Linked DNA regions of Pelodiscus sinensis. The protein of the gene in region 2 interacts with the protein of the main gene of each other region in a biochemical or structural test. Links are inferred from orthologs where the notes say so. Each region holds a gene or a part of one and is shown on either strand. Other genes may lie near its edges.

Region 1 (7,000 bases), on a different chromosome or scaffold from region 2:
CCCCCCCCGTGCCTGAGAAAATGCAGTGTTTGTCATTTGCAAAAGGGGGGGGGGGCGAGCCTGGCCAGGTGTTGGGGAGGCGGGATGGGGGGGGAGCGGGCAGGTGCACCCTTTGCTGGGAAGGCGCTTGGAATGGGTTTTGCAGAGTCCTCCGTGCCCTCCCCCCACCCCTCCTCCCGGACTCACTTCCTGCCCCCGCCGAGCCACCTGCCTGAAATCTCCCAGCCCCACAGGTGGGGGGCGGGCGTCCCTGCTCTCCGGTGAAGGTCACGGGATGGGGAGCCGGAGCCGTGCACCTGCCGTCTGCCCCTGGGGCGCCTTGGGGCTGCAGCGTGCGGGGTTAGGCCATGTGGGGTGAGCGGTCGCCCCTCCACCTGGCTCGGGCAGTGAGGATCCAGCAGGATTTTGCCTGGTGGGGAGTGCGAGGGGCGGGGGAGGGTAACCGTCTTCGCCAGCCCTTGTCTCCGTTGACACCTGAGCAACTGCGCGGCGGCAGCTTGAGGGGCGCGTGGGGGGGCGGGTGCAGCCCCGAACGCGCCCGCTGGCTAAGCGCTCTTCAGAGGCGCCGGTTAGCTGTGCGGGGGCCCTGGCGTCAGCCCCACCCCTGGAAGCCCCCGCCGCACGACACCGCTGACGCGGGGCGCTGGGGGGATGTGGCTTGTGGGCGGCCTCTCAGCACCGTGCCGGGCTGGGCTGTTTGCCAGGGGGCTCGTGGGTGGCTGCATCGCTCCCCATGATGCAGGGCTGGGGTGTGTGGGGGGGGGGAGGGGAGGGGAGGGGGTGCTGCGTTTGCCTTCTTGCATGTTTCATTCCTTGGGGTCGGCTTCTGCTCTGTCCTCTTGGTGCACGGGGACCCTTTGAGAGCCCGCAGTGTGTCTGGAGCCTGGGGCTGGCGCTTCACATGGGCGGGGCTGGCATCGCGCTCCCTGCCCTGCCCTGCTCCTCTCCCATCCTGGCTCGTGCCGGCTCTGGTGCAGGCCCCGGCAGGATTCGAACCTGCCGTCTTCAGCACAGACCAGAGTGAACCGAAGCGGGTAAAAGGCGGCAGCAGTAGTAGAGCGTTATCCTCCCGGCACCGGCCGCTAGAGGGCGACGTTGCTCACTCTGCAGGCCTGGCACCCTTGCTGTAGCCCTAGGCTGGCAGCGTGGTACCCGGTGGCGCCCAGACCCACCACGGCTGCTAACAGAGGGCTAGCTTGCCACCCCTTGCACCCTCCTCCCCTCCGCTGAGTTTCCAGGCCAGTTCTGAAGCCTCAAAGCGCCTCGTGTGGGTCTGTTGCTGGGCTGGGTTGAAAGCTTCGGGGGCCGCTTGCTCCCACCGCACCGGAGGGCAGGCGAGGGGGGACCGGCTCAGCGCCGGGCGCGTTCTCCTATCGCAGCGTCTCCCTGGGCCCGGCTCCAGGCCAGGGCGGACCTGCCCTGCCGGCGCCTGAAGCTGCATGGGCGGGGCAGGGCCCTGCGCCGGTCGGGTTGATGCGCGTTTGCCGGGGGACTAGTTGCCCGGGGAGGTTTGGCAGCTGCTCCGGGAAGGGGGGAGACGCAGGCCTGGTTTCTGCTCCTTGCCTGCGGCTCGGCGGGAGGTGCTGGCAGCGCCGGGCGGCTGACACTGACGTGCGTTGTTTGTTGGTGCGTTGCTCGGCCTCGGCGCATCGCCTGGTTCCTGCCAAGCCTGGGGCCCCGTGGGCCCAGCCCTGCGCCTCTCCCTCCGGCATTCGGCTTCGCCTGGTGGCAGCCTGGCCTGGAGTGACCCCGGGGAGCACGGCGTCTGTTGCTAGCTGGGAGTGCAGAATTCCTTCCCCAGCTCCGCCGCCCCTCCTGGGCTGATCCGGGAGCCGGGGACCTCTCCCGGTGGCAGACGTGTTTGGCTGGGAGGAGGGGGCGCTCCTGTGCCTAGAGCAGGGGCTGAGGGATCGGGGGCGCTGGGGGTCGGGATTCCTGTGCCCTAGAGATCAGAGCATGTGGGGTGGGGGGAAGACTCCTGGATACCGTTCCAGGCCCGGAGCGAGTTCAGCCGTTACTTCACCTTAGCGGGGCCAAACGCAGCCCTGGCAGGAGTCTGGTGGCAGGAGGAGTGAGGCCTCTAGGAGCTGGGTGGCTTGGTGCCTCAGTTTCCCTCGCTGGGTGGTGAGGCCTAGGAAAGCTACAGGAGATCTGCGAGGGGCAGGTGCCTCTGGCCTTGCCTTGGCCGGGGGGGGGGAGTTGCTCCTCGGGCACCCGGGTAGCCAGCAGGGGGTCAGTGCCCTGGGGGGGGTGTGGCAGTTTGCAGTTCTGGCCCCAGGCCAGGGGGGAGTTCAGGAGCCTGGTGACACGGGTGAGAGCCTGGCCAGCTTCCCCGGGCCCAGCCTGCGGGCTTTGGACCCAGTGCCTGCTCGCTGGGTCCCTTTCTCACCCGGCTCCATGGCCCTGAGCGAGCTTGTGGCTTCTCGGTTCCGCTGGGGCCTGGGTGTGGGGTGCCGGGTGGGGGTACCTCTCGGAGCCGGGGGAAGGTGGGCACGAAAGGAGCCAGGGGATGTGTCCCTTCTTGGGTAAAACTCTGGGCCAGGCTGGCAAGCAATGTCTCCATTTGAGCAGGCCCCGGGGGGGGGGAGAGACTGAGGCACCCCCCCCTCGGCTCTGTAAGACAGGATCCCCCTCTCTCTCCCAGGAGCACCCCCTCTGCCGCTGCCCGGAGGCATGGGGTGGGCATCCGGGGCAGAGGGACACTGGGGTGACACACGGGCTCTCGCAAGCCAGCTCCTCCAGACCCAGGTGCCCTGCAAGTTGCTGGACGCCTGCGGTGGGGCCAGGCCTGGGGTGAGCAGCATGCGGGGTGGGGGGCCTGCTGCCGAGAGGGGCAGGGAGGCAGCGGGTGACGGGGGGATGTTCCCAAGCGGAAGGCTGCTCCCTGCCCAGGCTTTTCCTGTTTAAATGCCAGCCCCGGGTGTTCCCTGGCCAGCTCGGGGGCCCTGTCCCAGGCCTGACGGCTCCCCGGGGCCCAGCGGGGCCAGGCTGCGCCCCGTTCCCAGTTTGCTCTGGGCGTTGCCACCCTCGGAGGGTTAATTTTAGCGCTTGGGAAATGGAGCGATTGGCAGGGCGGGTGGGCATTGTCCCAAGCCTCCCTCTGCGGCAGGTCGAACGGAGCCCCCCCCACCTTGCAGGGCTGGGCCCCCCCTCAACGCTGACCCGCAGCCCCCTAGCACCCGCCATGGCTGCAGGGGGGTGGGCTGCATTTGCAGCCCTGCCATGCGGATCCTGGCAGCGGGTGGCACCTGTCTCGGGGCACCCGTGTGGCCAGGGCTGCTGGGGCCTTTGGATTCGTCGGCTCCCTGTCGTGCGGCCCGTGTCTGCTGGCAGGGGTGGCGCCAGCGCTCTGAGGTGCCTGCTGCACCTCTGCAGCATTTGGGGGCTGGGGCCATCCCAGCCTGCCTGCCTGTTACCTGCATGAGGTGCGTTGCTGTGGGTGGTTCTGCAGCTGCCGCGTTCCGTCCCAGAGGTGGCTGCCTTTCACCGCCAAGCAGGGATCATGTTCGGCCTCAGCGCGACCAAGCGGGGGCGGCTGTAGAAATCCGAACCCGTTGGTTGGGGCAGCGCCCTCCAGGTAGGGGTGGGGAGCTGGCGATCCTGGCCACCCCGGAGGGCGGGGGGGGGGGGGCTGCGCGGGAGCCAGGCACCATGGGACGTCAGGAAAGTGGGATGCTGGGGTTATCCCCTCTGCTTGGCTGTTGGATGCCAGCCCCGTGCTGTCATGAGCCCGCAGGGAGGCGGGATTGATCGATTTCCACTCTGCGTCCTTTCTCCCGGAGTGGACTCTGCCCCGCTCCTGTGTGGGTCGCCCTGGCGGGTTAGGCGGGAGGCTGCTGTGGGGAGACAGGACTGGCAGCGCCCCCGGGTGCCTCACGGAGAGCGGATGGGGGGGGGGGGGCAGGCCGGGCGAGAACATGACTAGGCCAGAGACAGCAGGGCCTAATGGGTAGAGCTTTGGTCCTGGGGACTCGAGAGCTCTGAGTTCTATTCCCAGCTCCGCTGGGTGACTCAGGCCAGTCACGGTCCCTTCGTGCCTCAGTTTCCTCTCATCATTCTCCTTTCCAACGTGCCCGGAGCCCCGTGGGCGGGAGGTGGCGTGTGCAGAGCGCCGGTTTGGGAAATGCCCCACGCTGACGGCTGCGCACTTGTGTCAGGCCTGTGCCCGCCAGGGCAGAGGAGGGGCTGTAGCACCAGGCTGGGCCAGCGGCACAGGGAGGGAGCTGGCCCTCACAGGTGCTGGTTCCACTCCCCCCGCCCCCCTCCCTCGGGCCCCTGCAGCGGAAGTAGCACTGTGCCGACTTCTGGTTTCTCTCTCTTGACAGGGCTGGGTCCCCTCGCCAGGAGGACAGAGCTGAGCATGAGCCAGCCGGGACCGGGCGCCCCTCAGTGCTGGGTGAGTCCGGTGGCCCTGGGGCGGGGGGGCTGCCTTGGTTGCAGATGGGGCCGGGGCTAGAACCCAGCGGTGGCTGCTGGTCCCCCAACCCCGGGCCCCGAGAGACTAGAAAAATTGAGCGCGCAAAGATTTCCCAGTTTCCTGTTTTTCACTCTTGCAGGGAGGGGGAGGGGCAGGTCGGGGAGCGGGTGAATGAGTTGGGGGGGGCCGGGGCTGGTCCCCCCCGCCCAGCAGCGGTGCCATGCGGGGAGCCAGAGACTCCAGGAGCAGGTGACGCAGGGTCTGGTTAGAGGCCAGGCAGGTGCGTCCCCCTACCCCGCCGTGAGCGAGAGCACTAGGGGCCGAGGGGCTTCACGAGCCTCCCCTCGTGTGTCCCAGGGACCCCTCTGAGCTGGGGACCGGCGGGGGCAGCCGGGATTCCTGGGGGCTGAGAAGGGAGTGGGCTCCCGCGGGAGCCCATGGGGAGGGAGGGATAACGTCCCAGGCTCCGCTGAGTACTGGGGACCAATGATGACTAAAAGGAGGGGTGCTGGTCACAGGTTCAAAACAAGGGAGCCAGCTGGGGACACCGAGCAGAGAACCCCGGCCAGCGCCCGCTGCTCCTCAACGCTGTGACTGGAGCCAGTGGACGCTGCCCAGAGGAACTCTGCCGGATACGTGCCACGAGGGAGGAACGGAAATAGGCCCCCCAGTCGCAGGGATCCCCTCGTCCAGGATCCCCCTCCTGGTGTTCTAGCCGGCGGTTGGCTACAGCCAGGAGGAGGCCGGCGAGGAGGTCCTGCGCCCTTGTGGGGCCCGGATGGGGTGTGCGTAGATAAAGAGGGGAAGGGAAAAGTGCAGCCAGAACCTTAATAAGAGGTTCTGGAGGAGCCGGACTAGGCGCCGCTACCTGGCGCATTCGAGGTAGGTGTGCGCCAGTGTTTCCCTCACGCCACACAAGGGGCAGGCGTCCAGGATGGGGGTGAACCGCGCCAAGTACACGCCCGTGCTCACGGCCCCATGGAGGAGCAGCCAGCTAGTGTCCCCGATGGGCTGCGGGATTAAGGCAGAATACACACGGGCACATCAGGGTCCCCCATCCTCAACGGGTCTTAGGTAGCCCTGCCCTTGGTATCGGGGCGGGGCACGAGGGGGGGATGCAGAGTACGGAGCACGAGCGTGTGCAGATGTTCTCTAGGCGCGGTTCGAAAGCCAGCCGGCTGGGGGTCCAGGGATGGGGAGGCTGGGGGGGCCCACGGAAGAGGGGCCAATAAGAAGGGACGGAGGGTTTGCGGGAAGGGAGGGGCAGGGCGTCCCCTCACACAGGGCTCTGTAGGAGATCGAGAGTGGGCCGCGGCAAGGGGGGTAGGTGCAGGGGGGTTCGGAGGGTGGAGAGATCCACCCAGTCCCCCCTGTTGTAGTCTAGGAGGTCTCCGACCTTGGTGGTTTCTGCCAGGATCAGCCTCCGGCGCGGCGCGGGAGACTCCGCCACCTGCTCGCACGAGGCTGGGGGAGAGGATGGGGAGCTAGACTCCTTGGTTCTGTTGCCGTTTCCGAGTCGTTCTGCAGCCTTGGGCAGCGCCCGCCTCTGTGCCTCAGTTTCCCCACAGGGAAACGCGCCCGGCGCGTGCGGGGGATGTGGTGAGCAGCTGCCTGCAGGGTGCGCCGACGGGGCGGGAGGAGGTGCCGGAGGAGCACGGCACAGCCTCGTTCATTATTCAGCTGCCTATCCGGTGTCAGCACCTGGTCGCGTTCCTCTCGCCTCTCCTCTGTGCCGGCTCGGGCCAGCCTGAGGGAACCATCCCTGTGTGGGGGGGGCCGGATCCAGGATCCAGAACCCCCTGGGTTTGGGGAAAGCCACCCAGGGGAGTGGGACGGGAGGGTGTTTGGTGCCAGGCCCGGTGTTGTCGGCCCTCGGCGGGTGTGAACAGCCTATGCCGGCACCGCCGCTCTCCTGGCTCCCGCGACTGTGGGATAGAAAGAGCAGCCTGTTTCCATGGTAACAGCCGCATGGATCTGCGAGCTGCTTCGTGTTTTAAAAGAAACGCGAGTCGCTCTGCCCCCCGAAGCACCGCCAGGCCACGAGGGCCTATCCCCGCTAGCCTGCGGGGACCGACGGGCGGCGGGCTGGGCCCCGCTTTGAGGAGGGGAAACTGAGGCACGGGGCTGCCCTGCCTCATGCAGGGAGTCGGTGGCAGAATATGAGAGGGAAACTCCGGTCTCGTGAGAGGCGCTGTGCCTTGAGAGGAAGGCTTCACATAGCAAATCGGCTCCCGGCTTGGGAGTGGGGAAACTGAGGCACCAGAAGCCTGAACAATTCCAGAGAACGGAGGCATCCCAGCTCCCTCCGTGTCCTCCTGGAGTTGGGGTTGGAACCCAGGTGTCCCAGCGCCCCTCTAGCAGCTCAGGAATGTTCCCACCCGGGGGGGGTGATGTGTCCCCTCCCCGAGCGGAGCCCCCCTCCGTCCCACGGTGCCCCCCTGGGGCGTGGCAGGGAGCAGCCTGCCTCGGCCTCACCCCGTGTCTGTGTTTGTCCAGAGGCCGGCCACCTGAGCGGCGGGGGGTGTCGGCCCAGCTCCAAGATGTCCTGCTTTGCGGAGCATTTCTGGGTAAGTGTTCCCGATG
Region 2 (7,483 bases):
GATGATTTTCTTAATGAAGTGAAATGTCGGGAAACTGCTTAGTGTCCTGAATTTCAGAGACAGCTTTTTAGATGAAACCAGAGGAGCATACGTGAATATTGCTACTTTTTTGCCTAATGTGGAAGAATTGCCACAGAGTCCATTCAAAAGATTATAGTCGTCCAAGCTTGCATACCTGTGAAACAGATGCAGAGCAGCAAGTCAAACTACCTGATATTTACTGTGAGAGCTGGGCACATCTCCAGCACACACTCCCTTCTAATTCCTGTCCGAGTCATGTCTTATCAAACTCAACTGGAATATCTCTGGCATGATGTGGTTAGGACAAATATCTCCCATTAGAGAGATGTAACTTGGAAATTTACAAATTAGAAGTGATTTAAAAAAATGAAATCCATGAAGTGATGTCATTCAGGATAGTATCTAAGCAATGTTTCTGAGCTTCTAGTTGAATTTTTTTCTAGTTGAAATAGTATTCGCATTCCAAGTACTATTTTTCTACATTCTAATGATTTAAATCAAATGTATCTGTATCTCTTTAAATCTAAAAAAAATCCTTTTTAATATTACTGAAGATAGCTTTGATAACCATACTCTCAGGACGCTAAACATGAAAACAGTGAGAGCAAATCAGGGAAATGGTCAAAACACCTGAGCCATACACCCGGTAATTCCCTGCAATCTAAATCTAAAACTAATTGAATGGAAAGCTTATTCTGAAATGAGCCTAACATCGGGGAACAAAAAAGTAACCTTGTCAGAATCCATTCAAATGACAGTCACCTGTCTTCACTCCTCAAAAAATGATCTTCCTAGAGGATAGAGTTGAAGATTTAAAAATAGACAATGCTGACTCAATATAACTCTGGGGTTTCCTTGAATAGTGGAAGAACATTGATCCACCAGCTCTTTTCTGAATGGATGCCAAAACTACATGAGGACCCACTGAGTATAAAATGAGGCTGTATTTGACACTACAGTTGCATTAGTTGCACATTGCAGAGAGCTCCTTATAACATACTAGTGGTTTTAAAGAGGGAGAGGGAAAAAAAAGACAACCATAAGCTTGCACAAGTATACCATCCCATTAAATCCCTGAATATTGAGCCCACTACTGTAAGAAATAAAAGTACTGATGATAAACTCAGGCGATATGTAGAGTTCTGGTAAAAACTTCATTCAACTTCAGACTTTCACTAAATCGCAAATTCACAGTAGTTGCTTCCAGCCTGTAAAATCTTGCTGAGTTTGCTAGAGAACAAAAATTACCACTAGAAGTGAAAATATGAACACATGAAGGTGAACCTGTTCCAATATATTTTCCAAATGGCATTTTTATCAAGGCTTTTGTCAGTGAATTCTATAAATGTCTTTAGGCGTGTGTAGTGCTCTGAATACCTCAAATGTTCTGTTAATCCCTTAAACAGGGAGAATTGTCCATTGGTTTTGCAAGACAATATCATCTCACCCTTGGCTTCAAAAGACAATCCAAAAGCCTGTAGATACTTACCAATCTAAGAAAGAACATATTAGAGAAAATTCAATAGTGTGCTTCAAAATGCTTATCTCTAGCATAACTTCTCATTAACCGTTGTCAATTTATTCCCTGGAGAACTACAAATCGTAATATTTTGTGAAAATTACACTTGACTGATCAACTCAACAGATTAAAAAGAACCTGGTTGGGATTAGTAAATGCCCTTTCTGCCTCTGGAATTAATGTTTTAAAGTATTGGCCAAATTAATTTAGGATATTAATTTAATTCCATCACACAGCATTCTTTTCCATTTTCATTATTTTGCTTGATCAGCTTCTGATCAATCTTGGACTTTAAAGAGGGGCTGAAAGCAAAAGTGTCCTCATTTTATTTTTCTCTATCCTTTATATTGCTTGTAATAGCTGTCAAATCCTTCAGAATTTCAGGGCATTACAATCTATGATAAACATAATGAGTTTGTTTTTGTAGACGATTACATGTGAAATGCAGGATTACATTTGATCCTTTACAGAAACAGTGAAGGCCAGTACAGTATACTGTCTGGTGTATCTGTAAATATGATGAAGTTGAGAGCTTGTTTTTTCTTAGTGATCTTCTGATGGATTGAAATCTGGGAAGATGGTGCATACAAATTTTGCCTACGATAACTAAAGCAATCATGCTAAATAAGTTTTTATGTGGCTTTACTTTAAGATTTTCCATTACTAACTTAAGCTGAGTCAGCTTGATAAAATGAAAGACTTTCTTGAAATCCTCCCTGTACTTCTTCTTACTTGGTATAAAAGAGCTAGCTAAAATTGTTGAGCTGTCTAGAGTAGCTCATGAGCATGAGATCTAACCTCAAGGCAGAATGTCAAGAAACAAAGTCCAAACCTCAAACTGATTGTATGTTCTATAATTAAATTTCACCAACCAGATAACAAGTGTGAACGTCTAAAGCACTCTGACAATTTTAACATGAAACCACAGACAATTTCTTTGGTCTCTCTTGTATAGCTTGCCACCCAGGCAAGTTTGCCTTTGTAGCAGATGGTCCGTTTCACCAAAAAAACCACAATAATAGTCATGCTACTCCCAGTACCAGAGGATCTGTCCATTACTCCACATTAGTTTACTCTTAGATCTGTTACCAAAGATAATGTTTGAAGCCAGTCCTGTGATTAAACTAACTACAAAAGATAATAGAAGCTCTTGTAATATGTAAACTCTTCAGGGCTAAGCAACTAAGGGATCCTTTGGTTATGATTGGAAATGTGCCATCTCCAAATTCCAGGCAGTATAATGTTAATTTCTCCTTGACACAGATTTTTATGCATTCCCCCACTGTTCAGGCAATTATAGGATGAGTGCTTTTGTACATATCTGCTTCATGGATGTGGGGAAGCAATCAATGCAGTCTTTTGTTCACTGATGCGCTTTACTATGATTTTATTTGTGTCAATATATGCCGCCTTTTTCCGGGGAGTAGATGAGACCTCTTGTGGCAAACTAATATTTTACGTTTGGTAATGCTTCTTTCGTGACTGAAGTTTTACGGTTTTTAGCAAACATTTTTGTGCTTCAAGAACAAATCCTTAATGTACCCCTTGTTATCTGTATATGTATTTTAGAGAGTGTCTGCCCGTTTGTTCAAGAACTCCTCCTCATAAGAGCTATGACTATGAAATTTGATATGCAGCTTCCTCTTACCCTAACTTAAACCAAGGTCAGGGTTTGATTGTGCTTGGAAAATGGAAAGTTCTGGGAATGGGACTATTTCCCGTAACATGGAAAGGGAGGGGACAGAGAGAGGAAGAACGTGAAAGGGAGGGGCACAGAGAGGAGGGACGTGATACTGAGAGCAGCTACTGGTGGTATCTGCCGCGCCAAGAAAATGGCCAGAAGGGCTTGGATTCTGCCTTCTTGCCTGCCAACACACTGGTAAGGAGCCCCCCACCTCAAACCTGGAGCCTGTCCCCACACTCCATCATGGAGAGACCTCAGGGCATGGGGAGGGCGCTGAAGGTGAGGGCATCCCCACAGCCTGGCTCCTCTACAGGCAGCCTGTAGGCCACAGGGGAATATATGCGGGTGGGGGTTAGATGAAGGGGGAAAGTCCCCCGAGCCTCAACCCCCAACAAACTATAGGCTGGTGGCTGCAGGCTGCCGCAGTGTTGCTGCATGAGAGGGCCTCGCTTCTTCCCGATAGGCTGTGGGGGAGGACAGTTGCGGGGCTTGCTGGCAGGGGAGTGCTGCCACGGCCCCCCGGAAGGAGTTGCCACCAGAGCAGTGCTGCCCTTGCTGCCATGGGTGGCCCTGGTAAGCCCTCCCCATTTCCCAGCTCTGACTCCTACCTGCCTTGACTTTTTAGCATCCCCTCCTCCTATCCTGAGCCCTCCCCATATCTCCCAAACGTCTGCCACTCTGCCTCTCCTCACCCTTGATCTCTCACGCCTGCCTTCATTTTTGAAATATCATTGAAATAATACATTTTCGTTTCTTTTTCCTAAAAAACCTCACCTCTTCCGTTATAGACCAGAGCAAGGCTGAATACATCTTCTAGTAATATTTATAAGGTGAAATACATGCAGACCTCTAGAAACTTTTCATGAAATCTAAACACATTCCTATAATTCTGATGTTATTTTTAACAATACTAACACACAGGTGACCCAGACTTTATTTTATTTTATTTTATTTTATTTTATTTTATTTTATTTAAATATTTTTACCCTGCCTCTCTATTTAAAATATTCAAGGCGACTTATAAAAAACTGTTTAAACACAATACAAATATATATAAAAATTTAAAATATAAGACTCCAGAGGGACATAAAATGTGCTAAAAACATATAGAGAAGAGAAACACACACATACAGACTCAAACATTAATAAAAGCACGAGTAAAAAGGGTGGCTTTAGCCTGACACCGAAACAATGTTAGTGTTAGTGCCATGAGAATATCCCGAGGAAGAGAATTCCACAGTCTGGGAACAAAAGCTGAGAAGGCCCTGTTCTGCACAAATGTTAATCTTATCTCCACAAGTGGGGGAACATGAAGCAAAGCCTCCCCAGCTGACCTCAATCTCTGGGCAGGTTCATATGGGAGAAGACGGTCCTTCAGATACCCCGGACCCAACTCTTTTAAGGCTTTATCGATCGTGACTAAAACCTTAAAGTGTGCCCGGAAACATACTAGAAGCCAGTGCAGCTGCTGAAGCACTGGCATAATGTGCTCTATATAACGAGTATTAGTTAAGATTCGAGCAGTCTTAAGATTCTGGACCAGTTGACGTTTCCGAAGGTTCTTTAGAGGCAGCCCCATATAAAGTGCATTACACTAATCCTGTTGGGATGTAACAAGAGCGTGGATCGCTGTTGCCAATTCATGCTTGTTCAGGAAGGGTCGCAGCTGATGGATCAAACGAAGCTGCCCAAAAGCACTTCTGTTTGTCATTGTTCAGTGAAGCCCCTGGGCCTTGTCATAAGGTGGCATCTTGTCTGCCAGCCTCAAAAAAACAGGTACGATCAAAAGAACATCAGTAATTGTCTTGTCAAAGACCAAAACAAAGGAGATATTAATCTCTCCTTCTTGAATTTTTGTAGCTAGGCCGCTATAATTTCATGTGGTTGGTACTTTACAGACACTCAAAGCTTGCAGTTTATTCTTTTCCATCTGATATTTGGCTATGAACGTTTTGTTCCCTCGGGAGATGAGGTCACATCCAGTCCTAGGTACCGCTCTGTAAATGTGGGAAAATGCAATCTTGTACCTAAGTGCCTTGCCAACATTATCATTGACTTCCTGGATATGCCGTTTCCTTCAGGACAGGAAAAGTTGACATTGCAGACTTTTCCAGGGCATATTAGTAATGAACTCTGAACTACTCCATTAAGCTTAACCTACCTCCTGAGGATTTTGGTATGTACATATAAGTCTGATGCTTTGAAGGCATGGTTACTAAAGGAGTTACTAAAGGAGAAAATCTGCAATTGGGAAGAACTGATTGGAAGAGAATCATGTGGTGGTCTCATCCAGATAAGATCTTTATTGTACATTGATTTATTTGAGTATTGCTCAGATGTATACTTGAAATCCTGTACCTTTTGTTGAAGACCTTAAAACTCAAGTGTAATTAAAGGTTGAAAAATCTTGAATGCTACTCCTGGCAGACCACAGATGTTGCTGGACCAGAGAGTTCTGGATTAGAGAGGTTCAACCTGTATTAAATAGATACATTTCTGTATGTTTATAAATAAAAATTAATGTAAAAATATTTCATTCCCTTGCATTAACTCCTGAGTACAAAGTGTGGATAATATTTTATAGTTAGGTTAAGTTTAAGAAAAATAGTGGATTCATTCTAGCACCCGCTTTAAAATGCATCTGTTCTAATGTAAAATGCATTTATTTTGAAAGGAAGCTGTTAAAATACACCGAAGAGAATTTAGTTGCTTTAGAATTCAAAAGAGAGAGGGGGGGCATTCTTCTCTGGTAGCCTGCTGATTAAGAATGTGTATTTTGTAGCAGTTCTGGGTACTAATCAGTGGTGGTATCTTTCACAGGTTGATTCTAGTAACACTGGAAGAGTGGTGGCTTCTGATGCTGCTGCTTTCTTGAAAAAATCTGGGCTGACAGACTTGATACTTGGAAAGGTATTAATTATTTAATGAGTAACATTATGCCTTCAATTATGCTGTCTATTCCTGTTACAGTTTCCTTTCAGAAATACTATACATGTGTGTACAAAATGCTAGTATACAATATGTAATTTTGCTTTTATATATTGCACCTTTCATACAAAATACTTCAAAATCAGTGAACCTTACAACCTCAGTGGATAAATAATATTGTACTTACTGTGCAAGTTATGCTATGAGGATTAGGGTTTGATTCTATAAATACTGAGTACTTGAGTCAGCATTGAGGTGCTTTGCTCTTCATATTAAGTATATATTTGGCCACATAGCCAATAAGTGACAGAACTCAGATACAGAACTCACAAAGTCTTTATTGTAAATGGTATAAAATACTTATTCTAAGGACATTTATGGTCATCTGGAACTCTACCTAACATTTTATACATGATGATAAAACTATATTATAACCTTTTTTTAGGTAAGTTATGCAGGCACTTGAGTTATAAAATATGACTGTTTCTTTTCCTTTAGCTATAACTGATCAAGTTTCTATAATACATGGAAAAATAAGGACAGAGTAGTGACCGTAATTCCATGATTTCTAAACTGTTGACAGATTTGTATTTATCCTAAATGTTGTCTGGTGGATTGAGTAAATAAAATGAACTGTGAGTTTTTGTTTAAATATTTAATATATAGACTATACATTTTTACAAATCTGTTATATTTATATTTTAAAATATTGAGCTCGGTGGTCTTTCAAAGAATATGGAATAAGGAGGAGGTTAGTTAAACAGAAATGAAAAGGCACAATGACTAGTGCCAAATCCCTGCAAGCTGCATGGAAACTTTTTAATGACCCTATAATAGAGGCCCAACTTAAATGTATACCCCAAATTAAAAAACATAGCAAGAGACCTAAAAAAGAGTCACCGTGGCTTAACCACCATGTAAAAGAAGCAGTGAGGAACAAGAAGGCATATTTTAAGAAGTGGAAGTCCAATCCTAGTGAGATAAATAGAAAGGAACATAAACACTGTCAAATCAAGTGTAAAAATGTAGTAAGAAAAGCAAAAAAGATTTTGAGGAACAGTTAGCCAAAAGCTGAAAAAGAAATAACAAAATGTTTTTAAGTATATTAGAAGCAGGAAGCCTTCTAACAAACCTGTGGGTTCCCTAGACAATCGAGATATAAAAAGAGCAATCAAGGACGATAAAGCCATTGCGGTTAAACTAAATGATTTCTTTGCTTCAGTCTTCACTGCTGAGGACATTAGAGAGATTCCCAAATCTGCACCATCCTTTGTGGGTGATGAATCTGAGGAACTGTCCCGGATTGAAATGTCATTAGAGGAGGTTTTGGA

What was found.
Region 1: the proteins of EPS15 (region 2) and FCHO1 form a complex in vitro, tested with the Homo sapiens proteins (2 studies listed by BioGRID). The link is inferred for Pelodiscus sinensis from reciprocal best matches to the Homo sapiens genes EPS15 and FCHO1.

Annotation. Positions count from the first base shown.
Region 1 is NC_134729.1:17,886,769-17,893,768, forward strand, and holds the start of FCHO1 (F-BAR domain only protein 1), read left to right. Parts: upstream 1-3,917; 5' UTR 3,918-4,123; coding exon 4,124-4,236; intron 4,237-4,325; coding exon 4,326-4,396; intron 4,397-6,913; coding exon 6,914-6,984; intron 6,985-7,000. UniProt on the Homo sapiens protein: Functions in an early step of clathrin-mediated endocytosis. Has both a membrane binding/bending activity and the ability to recruit proteins essential to the formation of functional clathrin-coated pits.
Region 2 is NC_134719.1:8,705,462-8,712,944, reverse strand, and holds the start of EPS15 (epidermal growth factor receptor substrate 15), read left to right. Parts: upstream 1-4,394; 5' UTR 4,395-5,432; coding exon 5,433-5,531; intron 5,532-6,044; coding exon 6,045-6,134; intron 6,135-7,483. UniProt on the Homo sapiens protein: Involved in cell growth regulation. May be involved in the regulation of mitogenic signals and control of cell proliferation. Involved in the internalization of ligand-inducible receptors of the receptor tyrosine kinase (RTK) type, in particular EGFR.